2 linked regions of the Oreochromis niloticus genome follow. The protein of the gene in region 1 binds, or shares a complex with, the protein of each later gene. Links are inferred from orthologs where the notes say so. Each region holds a gene or a part of one and is shown on either strand. Other genes may lie near its edges.

Region 1 (7,069 bases):
TAGACTTGACTGTGCCCCCACTAAATTTTATTTCAGCACGCCTTACTGAAGGATGTCTGCATCCCTGAAATGCAACTGGAAAAGAGAGAAGAGGCATGCTGAAGGAGCTATAATCAAAGATGATCAGATGCATCCTCTGCACAAGTGTTTTTCCCGCATGGAATAAGTGTTATACACAGCTGAAATACAATGACAATGGTGGGATGAGGACTCTACAAATAGCTGTTCCTTTGCATTCATGCAGTTGTTTCAGTTTGGCTGCAGAAACAAACTTGCTCTACTTTACCATTTGTGTGGAATAAAAACAAACAAATGTGTAATATCTGTATATTCCTGATTTGAATTTGGTTAAGTTGACCTAACTATAAAATAGTGTCACAAGCCACTGTTAAACTGACTTATGGGATCATAAAAAACAGACAGCGCACAACAACAAAACACTAAAAGGACAATGAAATGTGCTTTTGGTAAAAATTTGACGTCGTGTGTAAAATTTCCAGTTTGATCCACATCACATGTTAAAAATGAGAACAATCTGATCAGAAAACCAGCAAGCAGGTTACCAATAATTCCATTTTTCACATGAACAGAGGAACAGTATGGGATTGTTAAACCAAAACATAATCCTTTACAGAAATTAAGGACATTTGCAGTATTAAAAATATTTGGATTTAGGGTTTAGTTTAGCGATAATTAGAACAAGTCAGAGAAATGTTGGTTACTTTTTTGGTAACTAACTTGACACTGGCACTTCTCTTTGTATGAAATCAGTTAAAGTGTGACTCGGTGGATGGTCTTGGCTCTGGCTTCTGAGTTTATTCTTCATGGATGGCATCGTGGTGTCATCATTAAGGGTCAAACAAACATGTTATGCAGCCAGGTGTTGTGTATGCAGCTGGAAGGCAACAGTGATCTGTCTGGGCTCAAACCACCTTTACCCCAGAATGAAGCAATGTTTTCAACAAGCCATTTTTTCCCCCACTCAAACACAATTGGATGTAAAAGCCAGTCAAACAAAACAAAAAGAGCCAATTTAACAGTTTAACAGAAGCGTTGTTTGGGGTGTACAATCAGCCTGTCTGAAAGATCTACGGAACAACCCCACGCCTCCCATTCCTCAAAGTATAGCTGCAAACCACACTGAGGTTCAACTCCAAGTAGCGGGCTAGAATCAGGTATCACCAGACAGCGAACCTGTACTAAGCCAGGGTTATCAGCTCACGCACGCACACAAAAAACCCACACAATAATAGTATGTGGTTTTTGTTGTTGTATTTTTTTACCTTAAGGTAACCTGTTCTGCGATCAAGGTTGAGATGGAGGTTTTTGATTTCTCCAAACTCTGAAAACTTGTCATGGATGTCCTCCTCTGTGGCCTCCTCATGTACACCCGTCACAAAGAGGATCCAGCCCTCCACAGCTGCAGCAAGGAAAGGAATCAGCATGTAATGAATCAAGTACCACTTTCAAGTGTATCAGCTTAAAAAAGACAAAAAACAAACAAACAAAAAAAAAGCGCTGTATTTGAGTCATAAATAAAAACTAGTTGTTGACAGTGTGATGCCAAAGGTGCTACGTTGCAATAAAGCATTTAATGTAAAATAAAAAGCTTTGCTTTGATATTAAGTCAATAAATAACAGAAGTGACACTTTTTTGGAAGCAAGTCTGCTTTTTTGTAAATCTGAATGGATTTTAATGGTACCAGCGTAATCCTTCTTTTGCTGTTGATTAACTCTGAGATTTCTATTCACACATGTAGCTTGGACTTTATACTATTGACCAAACTTATCATTACAAGCATTGGAGTTGTAACTCAAAAAAGCAGCAGCATTGTCTTACCGGTTACTTTTAGAAAAGTAATGCATTACTTTACTAATCACAAGTTATTTCATCATTTTACTTTTGCATTACTCTGTAACACAGCCTGTGGTGCTGTAGTGAAAGGTTTATAAATTGACAATTATGAGAAATTGCACCACACAATTGTAATGAGGACAAACACACAAATTATTTTTGTGCTTAAGTATTAAGACAATGACAATTAAGAACATGTATTTAAATAAGTTCTAACATGTTCTACCCAGTAGTGATTATCACATCAACAGCAAATGATGTAAGATTACCCAGAAAACCACTGGTACTTTCTGCTATATCACAGCAAAGCCACAGCCTGCCGTTTCAAGTTCGTGACATAATCCTTTGTTAAACCGTTTCTTTACTCACATCTCTGAGGGCCTGGCTCATCCCCATCTTGTTCCACAGTATCATAGTCCTCTTTGGTTCTGGACCGGGCTCCCTCCTCTGGAAATATCGACAAAGAAACACTTACTGTACTGCATAGCTAAAGTAAGAGAGGCTATGTAAAATATCGCCATCACACCAGGGGTCACTCACCTGAACCGAAGCCTCTTCCTTTCCTCTTCTTGGCTTTCTCTTTCAGCTTGTGGATGCTCTCTAATGAATGAAAGATGAACAAGTCAAAGCCAGCGCACGTCGCTGCAATGCTCTCTTGACTACAAGTTATCAACGAACAAAATTCGCCAATTTAATTCAGCTGACTAGGAACATGTTTAACATGCCCGCTCCCCCCAGTTTGAGCCGCAAAAACAATTACCCGTTAGCTGCACTAACCGCGAATTAGCGTGTTAGCAGCTGCTAACAACCCTCACAATGAGAGTTAAGTTACCGGCCAAGTAAATTTCCCCTTCAAAAAGAAACAGGTGAACTTTAAAGACCTCTATGTCCGTAGCCTCGCTAACTTGTACGGAGCGACTGAATAAATCAACTATACGGCGCTAACTCGCATTAGCATGTTAGCATTGATCGGGCCTGCCACCACGCAGTCTAGCTTTTGTTCCGTTTACGAACATGGCGGCTGCGATTCGGACCTCAATAATTACACATCATTTGAACGCGGGGACAGTAAAGTATTTTCCACTAACAGTGAACATAATATGATTACCATCACCATCCTCATCCATAGGAAAGTCCTCGCCTCCCGCTTCATGAAGGTCCAGCACGTCCGCCATGATGTCTCTGTGTGTATGCGTCTGACCAACGTAACGTACGTACGCAAAAAGCGCTGAGAGGTAGGCGGAAGTTGCCAGTTTGTATAAAATAAAAGTCAATATATTAAATAAAATACACAAATACAAATGAAAATAATATATATATATATTTTTTTAAAGGTAAATGGTAAATGGCCTGTATTTGTATAGCGCTTTACTTAGTCCCTAAGGACCCCAAGGCGCTTTACACTACATTCAGTCATCCACCCATTCACACACACATTCACACATTGGTGACGGCAAGCTACATTGTAGCCACAGCCGCCCTGGAGCGCACTGACAGAGGCACTATTATTTTTATCACAGAAAGTAAAATGGCTCAAATCAATTTACACAAACAGGCACAGTTAGGTTTTTAATGGTGTAGCTTTAAGATACCTGCACTTACAGCACTGTGCAACTTGTCATTTCTCTATATTTTGTTTGGAAAATAAAAAAACTGGTGCAATGGTTTATTGAAACATGTGCAAACCAATGACGCAAACATACATGGAAATACAGTACACACACAAAAACAAGTTTATACAATTCTAACAAGCTTGAAAGGCAGTGTTTGGTGTAACCACCTTTATTCAGTTGAACTCTCTTGGGCACCTTTCTTGTCATTTGTGTAAATAGTCTTCAGGAAAAGTTCTCCAGGCTTCTTACTTCTTGGGACCACCAGAGCCCCAAAGACTCAAATACAACTGCAGCAATGTGCTGTGAGGCAATGTGCAAAAATTGCAGTGATAGTAGAAGAAACCTGATTCATCTACGAGGACCCCACCCAACTCCACTCACTTCCATTGCAAGTGGAGTGTATGATTTAGTTAAAATAAACATATAACACTGCAGCTAATATTTCAGCACACGTGGTATATAATATTAAATACTTTTAAGGTGCACATTTTGAAATAACTTTACAAAGCCATTTTTGTCCATTTGATTTAGATCGTGATCATCAGTATTTCATTTTTTTTTTACTTAATTTCTTTGAGAACTGTAGATAATAATTACATATAGTCTGTACATGCAAAACAAACACAATGTTTTTAAAAAATATTTTCAAATACTTTGATTTTAGCAAGGCAAACAATGGGACATGACATAGACACTCTTTACATATATCATGGGGTTTTCTTGCCATTTCCAATGATTTGTTGCAGAGTACATTAGGGTTTTGTAGAAAACTTTGTATTCAGTGTTAAATTGTCTTCATTTATATTCTGGTGAGATGATTAGAAACATTCACTCACTTGCCGTCAACTGTAATCTGAAGACTTATTAAACATGTCACATTTCAGGGAAAACAGTGTCGTTTATTTGTTCTCTCATCCTGAATTTAAACATTTCCTGTGTTTCTCCAAAAGTTGAATCTGTTCATCTGGACGTAGCGTTTTGTGGGAGAAACGTTTCGTCACTCATCCAAGTGACTTCTTCAGTGTCAGCTGAAGGAACAATGGGCTGTCAGCCCATTGTTCCTTCAGTGGGCTGTGAGGTCCTTCCTTCAGTGGGCTGTGAGGTCCTCACAGCCCATTGTTCCTTCAGTGGGCTGGTTTCAGTCATTATGCAAATGTACTGTTTATAAGGTTTGGGGAAACCTGCAGTCAGCTGACACTGAAGAAGTCACTTGGATGAGTGACGAAACGTTTCTCCCACAAAACGCTACGTCCAGATGAACAGATTCAACTTTTGGAGATTTACTTTCCTGGATGATTGAGAATGCATCAAGACATTTCCTGTGTTTATTACACTGTCATCTAATCGTGCTTAAAATCCACAGCGAGACAGTGTGCCTGAGGTTTATGACTCACATCTTCAAAAATTCATGCTCATTCAATCTCTATTACAGAGATGCTGTGATTTCCGATAACACATCCCATTATGTCTGAGTTACTCTTATGCTTTGACATAAGTATACACAGACTCATTTTCAATTGCTATTCTAATTTCACTGTATGACCTGGAAACAGGAGATGAATGTGTGTATTTTCACTCATAATAGTGTCTGCTTATATTACACTTACTAGTGTGAACTGGCTCTAATATGACTTCTGTATCATATGTAATCTTACCTAGTTTACAGGGAATTGCTGTTCCCTGTCATAAATTACAACATAAGATAAGGCGAAGGTGAAAAGAGCAGCATTTTTTTTTTATCTTCATCCATATTTTAGGCCGTTTTTTGGTTGTTGTTTTTTTTGAGGATTTATGTGTTGAGTTTGTTGAATTTTACTTTAAACAACTAGAATATCTTTGTTTGAGTTTTGGTTTTTGTAAAAAATACATTACAAGACCAACAGAGGGCAGTCATGAATCCACTCACGCTTTTGACCCATGTGTTTGAAAGTCATATAAAAGCTGTTCATGCTTGTATTCTGGTGTCATTCTGGTATACTGAGAGCTATTCTTACTGTGAACTGAAATCAAGTGTCGGTAGAGAAATGACTTCAAGCAATGTGTAATCTGGTTAAAGGGTAAAAGCAAAATAGTAGAAAGATGAAAGTAGTTCTGATAAACATCTTTAGTAAATGTACTGACCCTTATATAGTGCGTTTCTATTCTTGCACAGCACTCCAAGCACTTTATACAACATGCCTCATTCATTCAAGCCCTTTTATTCTACGCTTTCTTGTATCTTGGCCAAGGATAGTTGACATGCAGACTGACCTGCCCTACTTCCGGAGCTACAGCCACCCTTCCAAGCCCCATAGTAAGCATATATTGTATATAAAAGTAAGTGTGGAAGTGCCTTTAACCTGCACTGTGTCTAAGGGCCAGCAGGGAGCGACTCCTTTTGGATACCAACCGGTCGCAGCAGATGGCCTCCCCTCCCTGAGCCTGGTTCTGCCGGAGGTTTCTTCCTGTTAAAATGGAGTTTTTCCTTCCCACTGTCACCAAAGTGCTTGCTCATAGGGGGTCATATGATTGTTGAGTTTTTGTCTGTACCTATGAAGCACCTTGAGGTGACTTTTGTTGTGATTTGGCGCTATATAAATAAAATGGAATTGAATTGAATTGAATATGATTTAGGGCATTCGAGTTTTTATAGCTAGTCCAGTGTAGTTCTTAGAGGGGAATCAAAGTATTTGTAAGATCTGCCAGATGGTGGATTCATTTAAGTACACTAATGTGAATATTGTGTAGAACAGGGGTGTCAACATGTGCTGCGCAGGCTTACCGAAGGGTCTGGTCTGGCCTGTTGGACGGCTTTGCAAACTGTGAAAATTGCTGAAAAAAAAGTATAATTTCACTGTGATCTATAAGTTTTAATGTACATGTAATGACATTAAATTGAGTGTGAGAAACAGACATTCTTGCAAAAAAGTCCAGCTTAAAATCAAACATCAAATCTTGTGCAAACTACCTCTGTATTAACATTAAAGGCAAATCCTCTGTGCAATAAGCTGCATTTGTCCAGTTCCAGTTGTCCAGATCACCACTTATTTTGACTTCAGCTGACTTTGTTCCAGTTTCTCACAGTGCAAATGTGTTTTGAAAGAAAAAAATAACACCCAAAGCATTTTGGGCACTACAACACATCAGACTTAACACAAGCAAACATCACAAAGACAGTTTTTACATGCTACAGATATGAACGTTTCTTTGTAATCACTTTATTATGCTCAAAGGGGTGCAGTGCAATATCAGGAGGTACAAAGACAGACAGATATGCAGGTTGCCATAGTGACACTACAGACACACAATGTCCAACCTTGCCTGCTGCTGTAACAATAAAGGGTGAAAAAGGGAGCACAATGGGTTTAAAGAAAAAGATAACACTTCACAAATAATTTTAACAGTCCAAAGATTTATTCAGCAAGATTAAAGGAACTGTGGGTTTTTTTCTCTTTTGTAGGTGGTGATACATGTCCCCATCTTGATTGTTTTGATGTGACTTACCTGGTTTTTGACTGGTCTGCAGAGATGTGTGCCTTCTCGTGAGTATAACAGAGTGAAATGACACTCACCATGTGTTGGTTAGAGTGCCACAAACATATATCTGAAAAGCCCAGCGTAT
Region 2 (7,384 bases), on another chromosome or scaffold:
CGAGAGCACAAAGCTGCTGCAGCTTTATTTGTTGTTTAAGGTGAAGCTAAATCTAAAAAACAACCACCTGAGCTTCATGGATCAGGCAGCTCATTATGACAGGACAGCGTACGGCTAGCCAAAAGATTTTTATCAAACAGCACATTAGCTCACGACACAGAGCTCCTGTGTTTGCTGTTAGAGGTCAAATCCTGCAGAGGCCCAGGGACGACCCAGAAGCCTCCAGGGTTCAGACATTTCACAGATGTTTCACCAGTCTCACTTTTTGCATGTTTCAGAGCGAAGCAGCAGAATGGATCTGAGAATGTCTAGAGAGATGAAGAAGAAGAATACAGAGGAGGCTCTGAGAAAAATGATGAAGACGTGCGTGAAATGTCCAGATTTGACGGTGAATGAAGCCATAGTGAAGCTCTGCAGCACCTCAGCAAGACCAAACAGCAGAGCTATCCCGTTGATGATTGGCTCAAGGATCTCGCTGAGAAGCTGGCTAATCTGTCAGGTAGTGTCAAGCTGGCGGGGCTTGGAGCGCTGGCCTTCACCATCTTCATCGACATCATTTCAAGCTCAGAGAGCACAAAGGAGGCTCTGCGGTGCGTCTTTGCAGAGCAGAAGGCCTCTGAGGTGTGGCATCAGATTGACGAGTGTCTGAAGAGATGCATGATGCACACAAATGATGATGCAGAGCTCATAAACAACATCAGATGGATCGAGCACCAGCTGAGCATCGTGCTCACCAGGCTGAAGAGCTCCATGATGAGGGACGGACAGATGTCGTCACGAGCTCTGAGGGCCTGGGTGAACGGAGCCGCCTTCCACATCCAGGTGCGGATCCACCTGGTGAGACTGGGAGGGCTACAGACCTGCGGACCTGTGGACACTCTCATCTCTGTGTATGAACGCGAGCTTGAGCTGCTGTTCGAAAAGCACAAGATGGAGAATAAATACGAACTGGACAAAGAACGTTTTAACAAATTTATTTCAGAAGAGGGTTCACGTACAGCTATTGCTGTTAGCCTTGTCCCACTTTCTAAAAGGTTAAAGATTTATTATGAGGAAAATTACGACAGCCAGAAGAAGCAGATTGAGCAGCACTTCAGCAAAGTCAGAGAGGATCTGCCACAGCTGGTCAGTCAGAGGGGTCACCTGAGTGTGTCGGAGTTCACCTGATTCGTGATTTCACTTAGTTTGTCTGTTAAAGAACAAATAACTGCTGCTTAGGTCATCATCTCCTCTGTCTCCCTCTGATTGGTTGATAGTTTTCATGTGTTTTCAGGAACGTGTCTCTTTCTCAGATATGTGGTTAATTATGATTATCAGACTGAAGTTAACTCGCTCACATTTAAAGCCAGTTATCCACGAGTCTGTCAGTGTCTGTGTATCTGTCTGTGGGCACACCAGGTGATAAACACCAACATGTATTCTGGGGTCACTGAAAGGCCAATTATTTTCTTAATTGAGGAACAGAGTGTCAGGAAATTCCTAATTTTCAAAGTAAAGGTTCTGTTACATATGGGGAAAAGGCAATTATAGGAAATGGTCAGGATCCTTTAACGCTACACTTTTGCAAAACAATAGCCTTCGATTACCTGTTGGATGTTATCAGTGATCTAAAGCTGTGAAAATGTTGTCTCCCTTCAGCTTATTAGCATGATGATAAATGTGTTTACTCTCCTAATAAACTCAACTATAGGAACAACAGCAGAAGTGTCCTACATGTGGAGAAATGTGCATCACAGGGATAACAGCAGGGCTCTAGAGTGCGACCAATTTGGTTGCAAATGCGACCAAATTTTTCAGTGGTGCGACCAAAAAAAAATATTTGGTCGCACCGGTGTGACCAAATATTTTCGGGTAACAAAAAAAAAAAAAAATCTCTGCAACTGTCCGTGTGGTCAACAACAGACACACATTATGCCCCTATCGTGGACTAAACCAATCAGAGATAGTCAGGGGCGGGACCTCTCTGATTGGCCGTGGTCCAGTTGAAAGTGCAGGTGGAAGAGAGAGGTGAGTAGCTTGAATAAAGTGATATCATTTCATTAAGGATTCCACACAAAGACGTAAACACAGACCCGACGCATCAGAATCAGCTTTGTCTTTCTCGGCTTTCTCACCCCACGGCCCGAACACGGACACGCTGTCGGAGCTTAGTGATTCTGATGCGTCGGGTCTGCGCTGTGTTTCCTCTTTTTTGCGCTGATTCTGAGCTGCAGGTTTTGTCTCTCCAACCAAAATTCGCCGAGCCAGCAGCAAAAGAAGCAGCAAACTACGCTTCACATTTGATCAATGTCGTCATGAATTCCCTCTGACTTTTGCTGTTTTGCTTCCACCACGATAAAAATCACACTTCATGCACAGCTCTCCCTCTCTCTCTCTCTCTCTCTGTACTTCAAGAACAGTTTCCCGTCTCAAATCTCTGTTTTCTGCATTATTTATTCGCTTATTACCCACCAGTCTACCGTTGTTTACAGCGCTGTCGGCCGCTGTCTTTTTCTTTTCTTTTTCTTTTTTCACTTAAATGACCTCGGACAAGAAAGCCTAATTTCTGCTGTTCAGTACTGAAGAAATTTAAACTTCTTAAAATTATGCAAAATTGCAGAATATTTTTAAGGTTATCTGCTATAAAACGCCAGACCAGGAAAATCTCCTTCATGTTTTTCTGTGTTTTATTCTCAGTTACTTTGACACAAAGGCATCTGCTGTGATGTTCACAATTCTGATGAAGTCTCATGTGTATCAGTGCTGATAAATGATCAGAATTATAATATTTCTGACTGTCTGAGGCTAAATTGAATCGAATCAGGACTTTGAGAACCGGAATCGAATGGATTATAGAAATCAGTGATGATACTCAGCCCTAGTGAGCAGCCTAGGCCTGACAGAAGTGGATGTAGCTGTGGGTAATAAGAAAAGATGAAAAGAACTATTGATAACTTTTGTGTTAAGTTAAGGACTGATCCGTCTGAAATTCATAGCCAGCTCTGACACGGTGCCATCAATCTTTGAATGCTGAAAAAGCAGCAGTGCATCCAGAAAACACATTATATGCTGCAATAAATGCACTGCCCAAGTGTCCCCTCTCCCCACTGCCTTTCAGCAGCAGGCAGCAGCAAACAGGTCGTCAGAGGAGGCCGAGGTGATGATTAAGTTTAACATTTTCTACAATATTGACAAAGCACTTTAAGCACAAGTTTGTTAGTTAATAATTTAGAAATTAATATTGTCTGTATGGACTTCCCCCCAAAGAAAGTGCACATGTAAAACTGCGGTGTTAAGCGATGCGGTTGAAAAATTTGAGTGCGCCTAAATTTTGTGCCGGTGCGCCTAAATTTTTAAAGTTAGGCGTACCGGTGCGCCCATGTGAAAAAGTTAGTTTAGAGCCCTGATAACAGAGAGTACAACAAGGAGTGAGGCCAGGACACACTGACAGGGATGAAGGGAACTCAGGTCTGTGTAAACAGTGGGAACTAACTGGGGATAGGAAACAGACAGGGAACAGCACGCAGGTGAAGACATACAGGAAGTCAAACTAAAACAAACTTAAAGCTGCTGTCTGGTACAGGCAGATCCTTAAAAAGCACAGATGCAGTGCTGGGCTCTTCAGAGAGCGACGTGGTGGAGGGTTTAACCGATGGTGCTCACCTGAGGCCTCAGACTCACTGTGGAGACAGGTTATTCTGCTCTGAGCTCGGCATCTCTGCAGCTCTGAATGTAGTCAGCAGCGCCGTCTAGTGGTGACCGACGGAAATGCGCTACTCTGACGTCTTACCTGTTCCTCAGGTTCAGGTACATACCTGTAAAATATCACCTTTTTCTCGTCACCTGTTGCTGTGTCGAACTACAAACATGTAGCTTTTACTGCAATACAACAACACTGAAACTCAGAGCTCAGTATTAATCCAAACGTAATGTAAGCTTGACCAAAACGTTAAAATAAAATAAAATAAAAACAGACTTCTTTGTTGGTTTGGAGGGAGACGCTCACGTTTCAGATCCACCGCCTGTCTGCAGAAACATGCTGCTGAAGCTTTGGTGCATCATCCATCAGCTGCACATCCAGATACTTTAAATACTTTAAGTACTTTTACCTGAATACATTCTGCATGTCAGGACATTTACTTTACTAAAGTCAGACCTGCAGAACTCTGTTTATTGTTTCTGTTTTGATTTTTATTACCCAGTTTGTTTCGTTTCTGTTGTACAAGTTATGTTTTATTTTCTATTTATTTATTTTGTCGCATTTTCAAGCGTGTTAGTAAAAGTTTACAAACAGTAGATGGCGGTAGAGAGAAAAAGGTGCTCTTAATTATCTCACTGAAGAAGAACTCGGATACCCATAATCCTCTGCTTCTTCCGTTTCCAACCATTCGAGTCCTAAGATGGCGGACCGGCGGCGAAGGAGGAGGCGCGCGTCCCAGGACAGCGAGGATGACGATGAGTCCGGGTCGGGTTCGGACAGCGGGAGGTCCGGGTCCCCGTCCTCGAAGCCCCGGGGACGGGAGCCCGACCCGGCGGAACCGACCGCGAGCCGGGTCCCGGCGAAGAGCGACGTGGAGTCCGAGTGTGTGAGTACCAGCTAGCAGCTAACGTTAGCTCCCAGAGCTCACCCGGTCCCGGGCGGGAGATCAGAGCCGAGCTTTCGGGCGTTAGAGCATTTACTCCGGGCCCGAGACCCGCTCCGGGCTCGGGTCACTGTGGAAAATGAACCCTGGATAAAACAGCGGGTGACGTGTTCGAGTCCCACAGACAGCTCGGTGTTTGTTCGGCGTTAGCTCGAAGGTAACGGCTCCGCTCTGTAACCGCTCCGTCGGACGGTTCTGGTCCATGACCCCGGCCAGCCTGGCGGTTCGAGCTGGAACAGACCGAGTAGCTCGCTGTAGCGCTTGTGTCCGAGCCGGAAAGGCTCAAACTAACACGGACACCAAACGTGACACAACACCGAGGCGTGAGAGTGATGTCCGGGACCCCCGGGCTGGCTGCATCACGCACCTCCGCGTGACCCGAGGTCTGAGAGAGGCTCTGGGCTGAGCCTCCATTTTGTGGCCGTGGATCTGTCTGAGATCATCCTGGGCCCCTGTGGTGGTGTTTAGCTGCCGTTTTTGGTCCCCGCAGCGGGGGGAAACATGACTGATTCGGTCCGACCGCAGTGCAGGCTGAGGCGGGTTTATTGGCTCCAGGCTGTTTACATGACAACAAACATGAAACGACAGATTAGTAAGAACCAATCAGCAGCAGGCTTGTTGATAAGTGTGCTGAAGTGAAATGTGAGTCCTGCCTGTGATTTCAGACGTTTGCTGTGTTTAAGCTCTGTTACTTTGGTTCCCAGTTTACAGGCTTCTGCTTCATCTGATCTCTGCTCTTGTTTGGGTCGTCACGGCAGCTCATCTGCCTCCACCTCCTCCTGTCCCAGCATCCTCCTCTGTCACTCCACCCCTCTGTATGTCCTCCTTCACAACATCCATGAACCTCCTCTGAGGTCCTCTTTGTCTCCCCCTGCCTGGCAGCTCACTTTTTTTATCATCCGCCCTCCCTCCTCTGCACATGCTCAGACCCTCTGTGACTCAGAGTTGTCACTCATTTCTGACGCTCAGTCGCTGTCCACAAATCAAACATCACAGCAGGTCTCACGACCTTCTCATAAACCTTCCTTTTCACTCTTGTAAATTCTGTTTTTAATCCAGATGCACTTCCTGACACGACCCTTCCCATGTGTCTGTGCTTGGGACGGCACTTGGAGGGCAGTGGCCTGTGGCTGGTCTTCACTGTGAGGAAGACGCTGATCTTTCTTGGTCTGTGAGAGTCTTTCGGTCTCAGTCGCTCACTCACACAGGCGAGCTGACGGCACCTCGTCATGATTTCTTCACATATTTTAAATATTGGTTCTTTGCGCTGGTATAAACTCACTCGACCGTTTGCAGGTAAATTAACTGTTCAAACTCCCAGAGGAGCTGTGCTGGTGTTACAGGTGAGAACGCTCCACCCTGCTGTATCAGCGCTGCTGCTGAAAAACACAGACACAAAGTGAATCCAGCTGTTAGCGTGAGATCAGACCGAGCTCATCTGTAAAGAGGTTTAAAGAGACTGACTCTGTGAGACGTGCGATATGACCAAAATCTCATATCCCGATATTAAGACATCTATCGTCCGATAACGATATAAAATCACAAAAATGTAACATTTTCTGTAAATTCTGTGAATGTCGGGCAGCTCGACTTGCGTGAAGTGTTTCCAGCTGGGCGTCGCGTACCTGGAGTCGAGTGTTTTAACTGATGCATGAAACGATACATTTGTAGACATAGGTTGTAACGGCCGCCGTTTTCTTTGTGAGTATTTATTACACGGCGTGCTGCGGGGAAAAGCCTGTTCTAACGTTTGAGTATAAGGTTTATTTTTTAGCACCTGACGGCTCTTTTTTGCTTCTCATCCGTAAACACTCTGCATCTTTCACGTGATTCAGTTTATTTTGAAAAGCCTCAACAGGATCTTGAGCTTTATTGTGAAAGGTTTATGTGGAAAATAAACAAGCGGACACGAGGTGGTTTTACCGTCGTTGTTGCTAACGAAAACGCATAAAAACAGGCGCTTGTCCGTCTGTAGTGTGGTTATATTAAATATAAGAGAAAGAGAGAACTTTAGGAAATTCATATAGCCACTACAGTGACCATCAAAATAATGAAAAAATATTGCCGTAAACAGTTTATTTTGCGACACCACGAAACAAACGATAGCGTAAAATGAAACGATAGACGTTTTTCTATCGTCATCCGATATATATCGTTATATCGAACAGCCCTAGTGAGACGTTTGATAAACTCGGATCTTTGAGCTGCGTTCAGACTCTGCTGAAGTAATCCGAGCTGTGCTGTTGGTGGTCTGTACAGTTAAAGGTGGAAGCTGAATAATGTGCACGGCGCTCTGTGACATACTCGCAGCAGAGCTCAGGCTCTGACACACAGACGCGTCTGATCCTCGGCGCTTTGGAGCTGCAGGAGCTTAACGCTGGTTTTCTTCTTTGTTGTTGCAGGAGAGCGAAGACGGCGTTGGAGAAGGTAAGCGACTTCTTCGTGAGCACCACACTGAAGTCACAATCTGGGAAATCAGGCTGCTGTTGGGTGATTTCACTCCTCCTCTTTGTTTTTCAGCCGTCCTCTCAGATTACGACAGCGCCGACCCCGAGGACAACGGATCGCATTCAGAGGTACGACCGCCGACTCGCTGCTTTCTCTCGGCTGTGACGTCTTGTTTAGCCTCTTTAGGGAGTGTTTCTCCTAAAACTGTGTCCTCCTCAGGGAGTGGAGGAGGAAGAGGAAGCAGAGCAGTACAGCGACGAGGAAGCTCCGGCAGCAGCCAGCGAGCCCCAGCCCCCCACTACAGATGGCCCTGT

The links. Proteins that work in one complex are often made in the same cells at the same time.
Region 2: rbm8a (region 1) and casc3 share a complex: the UniProt entries of both Homo sapiens proteins name them as parts of the mRNA splicing-dependent exon junction complex. The link is inferred for Oreochromis niloticus from reciprocal best matches to the Homo sapiens genes RBM8A and CASC3.

What each region holds. Positions count from the first base shown.
Region 1 is NC_031976.2:34,767,449-34,774,517, reverse strand, and holds the start of rbm8a (RNA-binding protein 8A), read right to left. Parts: upstream 3,096-7,069; 5' UTR 3,031-3,095; coding exon 2,964-3,030; intron 2,456-2,963; coding exon 2,396-2,455; intron 2,303-2,395; coding exon 2,225-2,302; intron 1,421-2,224; coding exon 1,284-1,420; intron 1-1,283.
Region 2 is NC_031969.2:34,227,163-34,234,546, forward strand, and holds the start of casc3 (protein CASC3), read left to right. Parts: upstream 1-4,343; 5' UTR 4,344-4,379; coding exon 4,380-4,565; intron 4,566-7,024; coding exon 7,025-7,049; intron 7,050-7,142; coding exon 7,143-7,198; intron 7,199-7,289; coding exon 7,290-7,384. UniProt on the Homo sapiens protein: Required for pre-mRNA splicing as component of the spliceosome. Core component of the splicing-dependent multiprotein exon junction complex (EJC) deposited at splice junctions on mRNAs.